Linked DNA regions of Lepisosteus oculatus. The protein of the gene in region 1 interacts with the protein of each later gene in a pairwise test. Links are inferred from orthologs where the notes say so. Each region holds a gene or a part of one and is shown on either strand. Other genes may lie near its edges.

What was found.
Region 2: the proteins of lmna (region 1) and lamina-associated polypeptide 2, isoforms beta/gamma interact in a two-hybrid assay, tested with the Homo sapiens proteins (2 studies listed by BioGRID, with this or other methods). The link is inferred for Lepisosteus oculatus from reciprocal best matches to the Homo sapiens genes LMNA and TMPO.

Annotation. Positions count from the first base shown.
Region 1 is NC_090722.1:3,105,275-3,112,465, forward strand, and holds the start of lmna (lamin), read left to right. Parts: upstream 1-4,159; 5' UTR 4,160-4,296; intron 4,297-7,191.
Region 2 is NC_090702.1:48,996,344-49,003,591, reverse strand, and holds the start of lamina-associated polypeptide 2, isoforms beta/gamma, read right to left. Parts: upstream 3,018-7,248; 5' UTR 2,524-3,017; coding exon 2,281-2,523; intron 1-2,280. UniProt on the Homo sapiens protein: May help direct the assembly of the nuclear lamina and thereby help maintain the structural organization of the nuclear envelope. Possible receptor for attachment of lamin filaments to the inner nuclear membrane.

The DNA of each region.
Region 1 (7,191 bases):
CATTAAACCAGCCTAATCATCCTAATCAATGTGACTAATGATCTCTTCTTGGCTCTGGACTCAAGCGCATTGTCTGCCCTTGCTCTGCTGGAACTAAGTGCTGCTTTTGAGACTGTTAATCATGCTGCCCACAGGAATTACTTAGAGACCCATGCTGGCATATCTCGGCTCGCCCTTAGTTGGCTTGGCCTTGATTTCTGATCAAAAGCAGTTTGAGTCAATAGGAAGAACTCTTTTGGTGACTTCAGGTGTTCCTCACGGCTTGGGTCTGGGCCAATTTCTTTCCAGCACCTCTGTGTTACAACTGAACGTGGTGATTAATGTATCTGTCACCATGGTGTTAATTTCCATGCTGGTGACATTGAGATGGACACGTGGACTGATCTAGGTGTCGTTCTTCTTACGGGTGACTTCTCAGAGGGTAAAACCTGGATATAACAACATTTCTTGCAGCTCAATATTGACAATGGTGATGTGAATGGAACTGGACCACCACAGAGTCTGTGCAGCATCAAGGTGTTTAGTGTGGTTCTGAGCCTGATGTTGAGAAACTGGTCCACACCTTTAGGATCGCCAGATTGGACTAGCTCCTAAGCACACTATGCACAGACTACAGTCTTTACCAGATCCAAACCTCCATATGAATATCACTCCTGTTCTAGCTTCCCTGCATTGGCTACCAGTATAGGATAGGGGTTAAAATCCTTGTCCTTCCCGACAAAGGACTACACAATCAGGCTCAAAAGCTTGCCGAGGTGTTATGCTCCATTCCAACAGCTCTGCTCCTTGGCTTGCTGTGTGCCCCATGATAAAACACCATATCCTGGATGCTATGTTTTCTACAGAGATTTGGAGGGCTCTACTGAAATGATACAGGACTCCCCGTCTCTGTCGGTCCTCAAAAGCCATTTAAAAACACATTTCTTCATGCTAGGGTCTGCTAAGTTTTAATACAGAAATGCTGTTTTTTTTTGTGTTCCTTCTACTTCCATGCTGTTGATTGGTCACCTCCAGGGTAAAGCGTTTTTGACATGTCTTGACATGAAAGGCGCTACATAAAATAATTATTATGAATGCTATTATTTTAAATAATATTCTGTCTAACATGGGGCAAGTCAGATTTCAAGGTGTAGCTTCCTTCGCCTTTTAGGATCTCTTATTCAGTCACGATCACTCATACGATCAAAGGCCGTAAATGCTGTGATAATTGCTCCTAATTGCCGACGAGGAAGGGAGCTTTGTTGTTTGGGATGGTCCTGTTTTTCACGCCTGATGCGCCTCAGAAGCAGGGGGTGAGGTAAGGCAGAGGGGTCTGTGTGATTGACGGCTCAAGTCACACCCACTAGAGGAAACAGAGCTCCTCCCCTTCTCAGCCATCCTGCTCAACAGCCACACGCGCGCAGGCAACGCACACACACACACAGGCTGACACATGGGGTTCTGTAGCAAAGGGGAGTGCTGCATTCAGCCGGGAATAGGAGTCAGGTGGCTATGACTTCATCTCTTTTCTCAGCTTATGAGGTCACCCCTCTCCTCATGCTGTGTGAGCCTCTTCCCTGTAACAGAAGAGTCTGGAAGCACGCTGACACACCTTTACAGCAGCTGCTGCACCAGGCCCGCAGTGGACCTGTGTTGTCCTGTCTTTTCTTAACTCCCCCCCTCTGATGCCACTCTCAGATCGGATATAGAGGGCCCCCTTTTAAAAGAAAATAATGGCTTCGTATGACGGCGTGCTTCTGCGGTGTTCCTCCCCATTTTCTCCCTCTGTCCTTCTCTTGCTTTGGGGATGGATGGGGAGGCTCCTGTTCCAGAATTCGGTTGCAGAATCCCCGGGAGTTCTCTCCGTGGGAAGCTGGAGAGGGCCTTCGTAGCAGAGGAGGGGATTCTCAATAAATCCAACACAAAGTGAGCCAATCGAGCACATACTGGGCTACGTGCTGAGGCAGAGTGGTTACCAGTATAACTGGCAATGCTCCTCCTTCCAGTACCTGGCTTTGCTACCACGGTGGGTTTTTGGCTCTGACTGGCACACCGGATACAGGTCTGTACAGCACAAGACCTCACTTCTGAAAGCCAGATTTCCTGTGGCCTTTAAAGACGACAGGTGTTTTCTCCACAAGTATTCACTATAAAAGCACCTGCAGCCTGCCTTACGTCAGCTTCCCAGCGAATGAGCTACTTTAAGCTGCAGGCTGACAAAGTTCTGCTCTGCAAGCCCACAGACCTCTGTATTTCTAAAACTCTTGGGTGCCCCTGGTTGCACCGTCTGGGGCTGGCTCCTGTTCCATCCCTTCAGAAGAAGAGTCCGAAGGCGGAACTGCTCTCTTGAAAGCTGAACCAAACTTTTCAGGAAATACTCACCTGTGTTTTGGAATTGTCCAGTGGCAAATTCTTCTACTGTAATGGATACCGATTTAAGACTGTAAACTAGTTTGCAAATGGGAGGATGTCAGCTGGTTAACTCGCCATACAGCTCAACTGGGAAGGCAGTAAAGAAGCTGGTTTGATCTTGGTTTTACGCAGAGTGGATGGTCTCTCCCCGACACTGTCCGTCTGACTGAGCCTGTTGCACACGAATTCGAACCTTTGACCTCACTCTTTCAGTCTCAGACCAGCATGTCTGCTCCTGGTACGGTGCTGCACTCCAGTAACTGTTAGCTGGGTGTCAGACTGCTATTTTATTCTTTATTCTCCTGCTCTTTCTTTCCTCCTTTGAGAAATCAAAAAAGGACTTTCTAGTTCCCCCAAATTATCCAGAATCTCTGATTCCACACAGACCTGATCACCATGTTGCTTTAAACTGGATATCATACTCAGACATGACTGACTGACGCATGGCTCTCCCCACACAGTCATTTCAAATGACAAAACAATATTTAAAAAGTACCTTGCAATGCTGGGGCCCTCAGTTCAATTCCAGACCTCGGCACCTGTCTGTGTGGAGTTTGCATGTTCTCCCCGTGTTTATGGGGGTTTCCTCTGGGTGCTGTGGTTTCCTCTCACAGTCTGAAGACATGCTGGTGGGTTAATTGGTTTCTGGGACAATCAGCCCTGTGTGAGTCTGTGTGACCTGCGATGGACTGGTGTCCTGTTCTGTGTGTGTGTGTCCTGCGATGGACTGGTGTCCTGTTCTGTGTGTGTGTGTGTGTGTGTGTGTGTGTGTGTGTGTGTGTGTGTGTGTCCTGCGATGGACTAGTGTCCTGTTCTGGGTGTGTGTGTGTCCTGTGATGGACTGGTGTCCTGTCCAGGGTGTGTGTGTCCTGTGATGGACTGGCGTCCCTGTGCCTGCTGCTCATCTGGACAGGCTCTGGCTGCTCCCAAGACCCTCAACTGGAAGAAGTGATTCGAAAACAGCCGGATGTCATTGTAATTTTAAATTTGACTTAAGTGTGCATCAATTCAGGTTGTGGAACAATGTGTATACATGGATCAGACAATTGGATTGGTAAGAAACACACAAAAAAGGGCAGTTTGAGTTTAGCTGTGCAGAAGGGGGTCTAATTAATTTCCCCTAAAGTATTTCTTAAAATCTGAGTCTTAGGGCTTCTTATAACAAGCCGTTGGATTAACTTTGAAAATGCAAGGGAAAAAGACAGAAGTGTCTTTTTTTGCACTGATATTTTACTGAGCATATATGATATAGGTCAATTTATGTTTTATATTTTAATGTAGTAGCTTTTAGGATCTCAACCCAGCACTGACATGTGGCCCTTTTGATCATATGTGACATTAATATCTAATTAATAGACATTGAATTAATGTTTGCTGGTGCAATTCAGATACGTGACATTAATTGACAGACTTTGATTTCATATTTGTTGGTACACCACTCAATATAGAGTAAGTCCTCATTTTAAGGACTACCACATTTAATTGACTATTGAGAACGCTTTCACATACAACACAGACGGCAAGTGATCGAACATTGGTCCACAAGGGGGCAGTGTGCACAAAGCAAAATAATTTCAGAGCAGCAAAAAGCCACATCAGTTCCCTGGTTATTTGTATAACACCGACGGTAGATAGGGATCTTTATTGTCTTTCATTTACATTTCCGAGATTGATAGTAGGGACGCACACAAATGAGACGCTATCTTTGATAACGAAATCGTTTTAAAACGAGGTTAGCGGTCGCCAGTGCGCTTTGGGTAGCGTACCCGTCATCCCGCGCGAGTGGTCAGCGGCGGTTTTCTTGAAGTCTCCCCGAAGATTAATCGGGATTTAAATGAAGAAACAAACAGACAAGAAGTCACCGAGTCCAGGAAATCGGCGGATTGATGCCGGCCCGGTTCTCAGGTAAAACGTCGCCCGTATTTTCTCTGTCTGTCGCTTGTTATCGCCTGTTCGTCATGAACTTGTCTCCCTTTGCGTGCTCGACTCTCTTTGAGAGAGATTTCCCCCTCGCCCCTTTGCAATGCGGGATCTGGAAGTAGCCCTTCTGAAAAGCTTGTATTGACTGAAGCCAGATGCTCTGTGCGCTCAGAAAGCAATGGTATCAATTACCCACAATAAGGAAATTAACACCTGCGCATGACCCAAAACAAAACAGGAGGCAAATTCGACACTATTTAAATGTGCGTCGGGCTGTGTAGGAGAAATGAGAAAGAGGCAGGTGTTTCTTTGAGTAAAAGTGGCTCATGGCGTCGGCTAGCTCGTCCGTCCTGGGGGTGTTCGGACGAGGGTGGCTGCGGGTTTAAAGTTTGCCGCTATCTGCAGGAGCCCAGCTGTGCTCCGACAAATAATTCTGCCCCAGAATGAGGTGCCCAGCTTTCAGGTTACAGTAGTTGTCGTTCCTGCGGCTTGAAACGGAAAAATCGTTTGTGAAAGTTTTCTCTTTCGTTTCCGTAAGAAACTAGTAATCCACGTGTCGGGAATGAAACTTGGGCCGTGAGTGTGAGTTCTTCACACTGGCCGGTGAAGAACCGTGTGCGGAGATTGTGTTTGTGAGCACGTTAAAGGCGGGTCATCGAGGCGCCTCTTGGCTCAAATCATAACATAACTTTATTAGCCCTTTACAATTTCTTGCATTAGGAATTTGTCTTTTCACATACTCCAGCTTGCTCTCCTTGAGACACACAGACGGGGAGAGAAGCTGGGGGTCAGAGCGCAGGGTCAGCCATTTATACGGCGCCCCTGGAGCAGTTGGGGTGAAGGGCCTTGCTCAGGGGCCCAAAGGAGTAGGATTCCTCTGCTGGCTGCCGGATTTGAACCGGCAACCTTCCAGCCACAGAGCCACCTCAACAGCTGTTAGGGGTTTCTTCCCGGATCTCCAACATCGGCCCTCCCAGGACACTGTCCTGACGACTCGGGCAGTCAGCCCCTTGTGATGAGGTGGACTGCTTCTGGCCTCAGTGGATGCAGTGAAGAAAACATGGCTGTACTGTGACATAAGGGGCACAGGGAGGGGAAACAGCACAGAGATGGGTCTGAAGTGCAGTAAAAGAAGTCGTATATGTTTGAATTGCAATTACGATGCTTGAGAACCGGTGTTGGATCCTACAGCTGTACTACCCAGTAGTAACGTGTTGGCGATCACCACTAGATGGCGGTACGGAGCCGCGTCGCGCTCTGTCTGTGGCCGTGTTCCCAGGTCTATAAAAATATATTTGACACAATGAAACCCCGAGAACTGGGCTCCGCACCAAATGCAACTTGAAACTTGTACTTTTATTTTTTAAAATCTTTTTGCTCCAACTGCTCTCCCCGCCCCCCCTCCAGGCAAATCAACTGACTGCAAAAATCGGCCGTTTGAAACTGTGCTGCACTACAGAGGCAGCTTAGCGGTATTCCAACAGTATCCGAATACCGTCTCTTTTGAAATGAATTCGTGTGCATCAATGTCAGCGTGCAGAGAAACAACATTCCCAGGAGAAAGACCAACGGGAGCTGGCTACACAAACAGGGCATGCTCCTCTGCTTCAGGGCTCTGAGTGGGCAGTTTTGTGATGGAGAAGGTGGTTTTCTGATCTGCGTACAAAAGAAGGGAAGAGTCCAAATACTTCATAAATAACTTAAGAAAGGTCATTAAATAACTGAGTTTAGAGTGTCTCCTTATTGGTTCATATGACATTTTTCTTAAATTGTTACAGCTGTACCAGTTGGTGCAGCTGGATGTCTTATTGGAACAATCTGAGAGGATGTGTTCTGCTCAAGTAGGCAGGGACTTGAACCCAAGCCCTACTGCACCACACTGCTTTGTTGAAGGCTCAGACCTCATTTGAAATGGGGTCCCCACCTGCAGTCTTTGTGGGTCGTAGTCCAGGACGTTCTTGGGAACCGTTTGAACATCAAGAGCTAAAAAGGGCAATGGGGAGGATTTAAACGGTACTATTCAGCATAAAAGTACGATTAAGACATTTTTAAAGATGAACACTTTTCTTTAGCTCAGATGCCAATCCAGAGGACGACTTCGAGGCCAATAGAGAAACCAGGGTCCAAGCAGAAGCTTAGAAGACATTGTGTTGAGCTCTGGGACGGGAGGCGCTTCCTTACACCTAGAGTTGTAGGGGTGTGGAGCAAACTGCCTGGTCATGTTGTACAGCCCAGTTCAGACAGTTCCTTCAAGAAACAGGTCGAAGGAAGTCCACTGATTGTTATTGATTTATGGATCATTATCAATCAGTTTCTAGCAAACAAATGAGTAAGATGAGCCCCCTCTCTAACTCTTCTCTGGTCCTGGTGTTCTTTCTTGTGCTGTTAAGCTGTTGGTGTGAATGAAGCACGAAGCTTGCTGGGTTAAGACCCCCGGTGTCACAGGTGGGGTCCCTGCTTTGCGAGGCCGGATGTTTGTGCGTTGCTGTTATCGTGTTTCCCCCCCCTCTCTTCCCCAGAAAGAATCACTCTTCCCTCCCAGTCTGGGTAAGCAGCCGAACGCGCTGCAGGGACGTTCCGAAGGAAAAGGCAATTACACACCATGACACAGTCACACACAGTCACACACACATCCTACTCGCAGAAGTCAATCTGAAAGGCACGTTTCCGGATCTTTCTTTGTCGGTGGGTTGTGCTCTGTGCGATTCAGATCGTGGAGTGTTTGTTCCTGAGCAGCTGGGCTTTGCTGGAGGATGCGACGCCCCTCTCTCTCTCTCACACAGGCAGGGCTGTGCTTGGCTGAGTAACCCCTAGTTACCACGTTGTGTTAGTTTCCACTCACTCGGGCTGTTGTGGTTTTCCTACGTCAGGAAGTGGTGG
Region 2 (7,248 bases), on another chromosome or scaffold:
ATGCACAACAATACAGCGCGCAGCGGTAGTTGATGGCAATGAAATGTCTTTTCTGCGAGCTCACAAAATACGAGAATCACAAAAAAATGTTTAAAAAAAATCACAAAATCAAGGTTAAAAGCACAGCAACCCGCCTCAGCACAAACCGCACTTTTACCGGGGTAAAACACAACTCCGCTAAAGTTCAACTCCAGTTCGCCGCCCTGCTGCCACACGGACACCTGTCCTCCTGTGCTTTCTGTAGGGTTTTTTTTCTTTACTCCTTATTAATTTTTTTTTGTTATTGTTATTTTGCTGTTTTTCTTGTTTCTCTTGGTTCTTGTTTACGTATGCCCTTTTGAAAGTGTTGTAGCATGTCTATTTTATTAAACTCCACAGTACTATTTGCGACACGGATCCTATTTTGTGGCGTTACCCGCTACACAGTTTTTGTGACGCTCACACCTGAAGAGGGTGTTTTCTTTCTTCTCTTTCCAGCACGGAATAAACCTATGACTTGTATTTTTGTGATGCGCTATAAATGTTACATGCTGTGGTGTGTTATATTGTACATGCGCAATAGATTGATGTACAATGTTTTTCTTATTTATTGTAATAGAATAATGTGCAATGTTTTCTTTTCTTCTTTTTTTTGTTTGCATTCTATTTAAATGTATAGGAGCGCTGCGTGTCCATAAAACAAAATTCCCTCAGGGGACAATAAAATCTAATCACTTATCTTAAATCTTTCTTTTGCGGCAAGAATAGTTAACAAAAAGTAGTCAAATCCCCCCACCCATCCACCAGGTGACATGAAGACCGAACCCACCCCGTGTGGACCCCCACACCCCAAGACAACCCGCAGGACGCTATCGGGGAGCAAATGTACAAAATCTTGAACCGCAGAATGTGGCTCTGGGGTCAGATATTTTTATTATTCAGATATCCAAGAGTTATTTACCGTGATTTACCGAACTCCGCACAAGAGACATTTTCCCTATCAAGTTTTATAAAACGATATACCCGCTACGCAGTTTTTTTTTGTATGCAGCGCCTTAACTTCGATTTAAATAATGGAGATGATCCGCTACAGTTGAATATTCAGAGAACATATTTTTTTAAGTTTCGGTACTTGTCGATGCGCGCCTTCCGTTTCTTACTGCTTAAGCTAAAATGATTTGATCATTTCACGTATTTGTCCGTGATTTTGCCCAGACGGTTGATCCGGATGTGCAATCGCTCCTCGACTCCGTGCAGAGCCCGTTCTTGCTCTATTGTTTATTTCCCTTCAGCGTGACCGGGCTGCCCGCGTCGGATTCAAAACACAGAAGCGCCGTCCGGCCACGCTACGAAATATTTCAACCCGTTTGCGATCTCCGTCTCGGAAACCGCTCAGACAAAAACGCACGACGTTTTCGAAGCAGGTTGAACACCGGCGAGGTATATGATTTCGGCGCGTCTCGGCGCAGCCGAAAATGAATTATTAATGGCGAAAGGCAGTTCCCACACAATAGCGAGGGGCTCTCGGCTCCGAAGGCGGTCCGAGTGTTTAAGCGGGAAAGTGAGAGACGGAGGCGATTCTCAGGGACAGCATCGCTCACACTCGCAGGACAGGTGAATGAAGCTCGCACTTCCCCCCAAAATTCACACGGGCACTCCGGCACCTGTCCATTTCCCACTCCAATCGCTTTCAATCGCCTTCATGCACCGCATTGTGGTCTCTCCCCCCCCCCAAGATCAACGTTATCTGTAGAAGACCTACTTCGGTCTGGGCTAAGACCAAAAAAAAAAGGTTCTTCAAAGAGAAATAAATGTAAACAGCGGAGAAAACATGCAGACCTCTATACCATATTGTAACGCATGCCTGGCTGGCGGTGGTGGTCCTGCACAGGCCAGAGCTAACTTTTGACAGGAGGCACCACCGAAGAGCACAAGCGACAATTCACAACAATCCGCGCTTGAACGAGCGACCCCGGCACAAGCCGACACAATCTTGACCCGCTGTAGTTGGTTAAAACAAAACAAAGAAATACCAGAAATAAATACCCGGTCCTCTCTTATTATTTTTTTTTTTAAATGGGACAAATAAGTGCTAAAACAACGCGGTCACCGGTTAATAAAATCAGGAGAGTCGATACAAGCTTGCCTGCCCCGGCTACAGTTGCACGCTTTTTTTTTCAAACTGGCGTTTCATTGAGCTAGCGGGTCCCGCAGCAGGGAAACACAATGTAACCAAGAGCTGCAGGCACGCCGGCGCTTCAAGCAGCCGCCGCCGGCGGCCGGGACAAAGTGCAGACTTACCCTCCCGGAGCGGTTCCTGTTGCTGACCGGGGGCGCAGCCGGCAGCTCCTCGTCGCTGGAGAAAGCCTCCGGGGCACCCCGGTTCCTCCTCGCCTTGTTCTGCGCGGTGAGGTGCTGCAAGTACAGCTGGACGTAGACGTCCTTCTTCTGCTCGCCGCTCGGGAGAGGCACGCTGTTCGCCAGCAGCTCGCTCTTCAGCTTATCCTTGGTCAGCACCGAGGGGTCCTCCAGGAACTCCGACATGTCTGCTGGTGGTGGTGGTGGTGGTGTTGGTGGTGGTGACCCGACACGGGGAATCGGCGCCTGTCGCTACGACGCGCAGAAAATTGAACTGGACGGGGAGAAAAAAAAACGTGCAGCGGGCGCCTCTTGTTGGAGTAAGACAGTAACGCCAACGACAGTCGATATCCTTCGCGAGAACCGCTATCCTTTTCTTCCACCCCTCCCCTTCCTCTCCTTCTTGCGCTTCAGACCTGCTCCCCGGGTTTCTGCGGCTGCGGCGATGCGCGAAAGCAGTGTAGTTCCAGCTCCCTTGTTTAAGTGTGTGTGTGTGTAAAAACACGCCACCCTAGCGAGCGCAGACAAACAACCCGGCCCCACTACGAAGCCAGAGCAGCGAGAAAAGAGGGGGGGGGGGCGGCTTTCGCCTCACTGCCCAGTAAAGCCGAGCGCCATTGGGCGGCGTAGCTGTAGAAAGGACCTCGCCATTGGCTTCAAGTTGGAGCGCAGAAGCTGAGGGCTAGGGGCTCCTGGAGCCGGGGTCTGGGTCTGTACGCGCCAGGAGCGAGCAGGACTGAGGGCTGAACTGTGCTGCGGCGAGGAACAAGCCCTGGAAAGATGATGATGATGATGGGATTATAATTACGCGCTTGTAGGAAAACAGAAATCGCCTGGAAGTGCATCAGTTTGCTCGTTAGTGTAGAATAGCCGGGTGTTGTACCGTTGCGTTGCAATGTAGCAGCAATGAATCGGGTGATTTCTGCACCACTTCAGTATTTTCTTATCCGAATGTCAAACGCGTCTTCACGGCAACGAACCAGACCGATTAAGAAGCGTTTCGGAAGCCGGACAATCTCGACCAGTAATGTGGCGTTGAAATAAGTACTAAGTACAACGCTTGCACTACTACTGGTGTCACTATAGTCCAGGGGCACGTAACGCACTGTGTTATGGGTTGTATACAGTACAGTATGTGAGGACAAGCCTCCTGTGAAAGAACTGGGCCATTCTTGGGGAACGGGACTCGTTTACAAAGTGCATCAAGACCCCTGGGCTCCACCACGAGGCCACGATACCGCAGCTTTCTCTCTTTTCGGGGGGGGGAGGGGAGTGTGAAAAGCGGGGTTCTGGCGGACACCCCGAGAATGAGGTTCACACAAAGCGTCAGTCCCTGCAGGTGCAGGAAATCTCGCCCCTCTCCTCTGCATTCCATACCAGAGTCTAGGAGTCCTTATACAGAACTCACACAAGGGAGGAAGGGGATGTTCTTGTGCAAAACTCTTTAAGTAGAATATTGTCTTTTAATATTGCCTTTATTGAACCAAGTGAATTTAGTTGTATTTTTTTGGCCTGTCTTCATTTATATATATGATATTATATGCCATTAAACTGTGGGTATATAATGCTGTAGTGTTTTTGTTGCTTTTTTTCCATCTTTCTTTGTGATGGGAAAATAAAGTTCTTGAAGTGGAGACTCTCCATGCAGCTGGCCCTCATCACCTCCTGATACCAGAGAGACTCCGGACTGTCACCCGCCCCTTGTCCTGATGTCCTGCACCCAAAAACGATCCTCCTCTTTTGGTTGGGAACTTTGGACGTATTGTCCTGCACTTTGGACAGACTGTGGACTAATCATTTTTTTTTCACGTTCCATGTAGCTGAAAGTGGGGTTCCCAGCCCTGATCCTGGAGGGTCGCTGTGTCGCCAGGTTTTCATTCCAGCTCCACTCTTAGTGAATTAAACCAGCTGGATGCCGGCTTGACGGGAGCCATTTCTCAGCTTCTCCCAGCTCTTCAGGTGCTGCTGCTTTAAAGAGACCTGGAAAACCTGTCACACTGAACCTCCAGGACCAGGACTGGACAGCCCTGCTGTAGACACACTGACCCCTCCTGGACCAGGACTGGACAGCCCTGCTGTGGACACACTGGCCCCTCCAGGACCAGGACTGGACGGCCCCGCTGTAGACACACTGACCCCTCCAGGACCGGGACTGGACAGCCCTGCCGTAGACACAGCGCCCCCTCCTGAACCAGGACTGGACGGCCCTGCTGAAGACACGCTGACCCCTCCAGGACTGGGACTGGACGGCCCTGCTGAAGACACACTGACCCCTCCAGGACCAGGACTGGACGGCCCTGCCGTAGACACAGCGCCCCCTCCAGGACCAGGACTGGACTGCCCTGCCGTAGACACACTGACCCCTCCTGGACCGGGACTGGACAGCCCTGCTTGCTTATGTGGTCGAAACGCAATTACCCTTGTTTTTACCCAACTGCTGATATAAGGGTGGTCTGTAGATCTCGCTGGACCGTGGCCCTGCAGGACCAGAGCTGGCCACCCCTGGCCTGCGGTAACCAGATGGAGATCAGGAATGAAGGTGAAGGAATTCTCCTCCTGGAGGTCAGGAGGGAGGCGGGCGGAGAGAGAGGTTCTCCTGGGGACATGGTACTGCAAGTCCCTACCCTCTGGCACCCCTGCTGAGGTGTTCCTTATGGCTGGGCTCGAGTCTGCGCACGTACAGAGACCGGAGGCTGATGACTCAGAGACAGACTGTTGTGTGACAGTGTTGCTGTCGGTTATTTGTGCAGTTGTATTTCCCTATGCGTGTTCCCCTCTTTTTGAGTCTTTCTTGTCTGTGCTTTTGTCTTGTCTTGTGTCTGATACCCCGACAGGGAATTAATTTCTGTGGTGAGGTGTTCAGTACCTCTCCCTGTTGTATGCTGTAGGTTAGAGTCACAGCACAGCCAGGCACAGTGGCGTAGGAAGACATGATTGCTGTTAAGCTATTTCTTTGCACATTATGCACATGGTCAAGTATATTTAAGTGGTCTACTGGTGAGTACTTATCAATGCTATACTAAAATTGAGTAAGGTAGCTCAGACATGTAGCGACAATATAGTGGATTCAAATTTTATCGTGTGATAAGTCTAAATCTGAAACGTTTGTGTCTAAACAATACAGTTGGTGAAAGCTGCAATGCAGTCTCCTAGAACTGGATTATTATAATTCTACGGCCAAGCGTGAAAACCAAGGAAACGTTTGACCAAGGTAAAATACAAGAATATACAGCCCCATGAACTTGCCCGTGACACTCGTGTTCTGGAAAGGATTATGCTTTCAGCAGGATAGAAATACACAACTGTATAAATGAAATAGTAAATACAGTTTTATGGGCACCTTCCAACCAAAACCAAGTAAAGGTCTTCTAAAACCAAATCATCCGAACATTCCCGCCAAACAATTCACATGCCCACTGTTGACAAACAACAGTGTAGACGCAGAGCCTTTCCCTTTCCCCCGGGAGAACGGTGATGGAGACAGAGGGACCGGTTTGTAAACCGGAGGAAATCGGCTCACCCGTCGTTGGATCAAGCAGCAATTTCCCTGGGAGCCCCCCTGAATCGTTTTGTTCCAAACACACTGTAATCATAATCGTAATCCTAGTTTAATACCTCACTTTTATACTCCGTGTGCGTAGTTTTAAGTTTCGTTCTTGTCACCTTGTCTTACTAAAGTTTAATTGTTTATTTTTAAAGGAGGGTGGTGGTGGTGGGGGAGTTCAATTGAATGCTATATTAGTTCAATATATTGAAATAATATAATTATTTGATCGACCAAACGTCGTGGTAATGATTTGCGGTCGGGACACGTCTATCCAGCAGTAGCTGCTCTGGAGTGACGCTCTCTAGCTGGGTATCTCTGTGAACAACCAACAACAATTCCTGGGCCATCTTCTGCTCTTGCTGGGTCTCTCCTGCCTGTCATTTCCAGATTGTCTGGAAAACCTAGTTCGTTTTTTTTTTGTGGCTCCTTCTCTATCTTTCTCCATCTCAGGATACAGCTTTGACCCTATAAGACGGCGAATATAGATAGAGGTGCACTTCCTACTGCACTGTGACAAATATTCTGGGAGGAGAGAAACATTCTTCCCCAAATTTACAAAACTAATCCCAAAGTTCCCACACCTGCCAGAATCACAACAAGTACCAATCCTCCTGGGAGAGGGAGGAGGGAACTCTGTTGAACTGGCAGCCAAGTATGTGATCTCCTGTCCCAGCCTGAGGAGCAGTGAGCCTCTCCCAATAATGCTCCATATGTAAATATCGTATGATCGTGTCTTTATTGTAAATGCCTGCAGATTTTTTTTCATGTTGTATTTGTTTTGCTTGGGGAGCACTGGTTTGACTCATTGGACATGCCAATAAAGCCTCGTGAATTGAATTGAAAAGGTGCAGCGCTCTGCCTGGAACACGAGTGGCGTATCTGACAAATGATGAATCGGGTTCCGGGGAGAATGGGTGTTAAATGTGGGGCTAAAAGGAGGAGTGACCCCGACGTGATTCGAACACGCAGCCTTCTGATCTGGAGTCAGACGCGCTACCGTTGCGCCACGAGGTCCTGCTGGACAGCTCTTTTCCAAAGTCTTTACGTGCCAGAAGACTGTTTGCCGACCGCTGGCGTGAGGACTGGGGGGGGTAATTTGTCGTATCAGGACGAGCATCAGTTTAGTCGACATTCCTGACATAGTAGCAGGTGCAGGCAATTAGCCAACCTCGGCACCTTTATGGTCTCTCCCCCTTTCCCACTTTTTTAAATAATAATAATAATAATAAACGCCCGGCGCTTTGAGACGCGTTTAAACCACGGCGTGTACTGATCGTCGCTGTTGGGACTGACACCAGTTCAAAACCCCACAGTGGAGTTGGGGGGGGCCATCGTGAAAATACAAAAAAAAGTACGCCGACAGG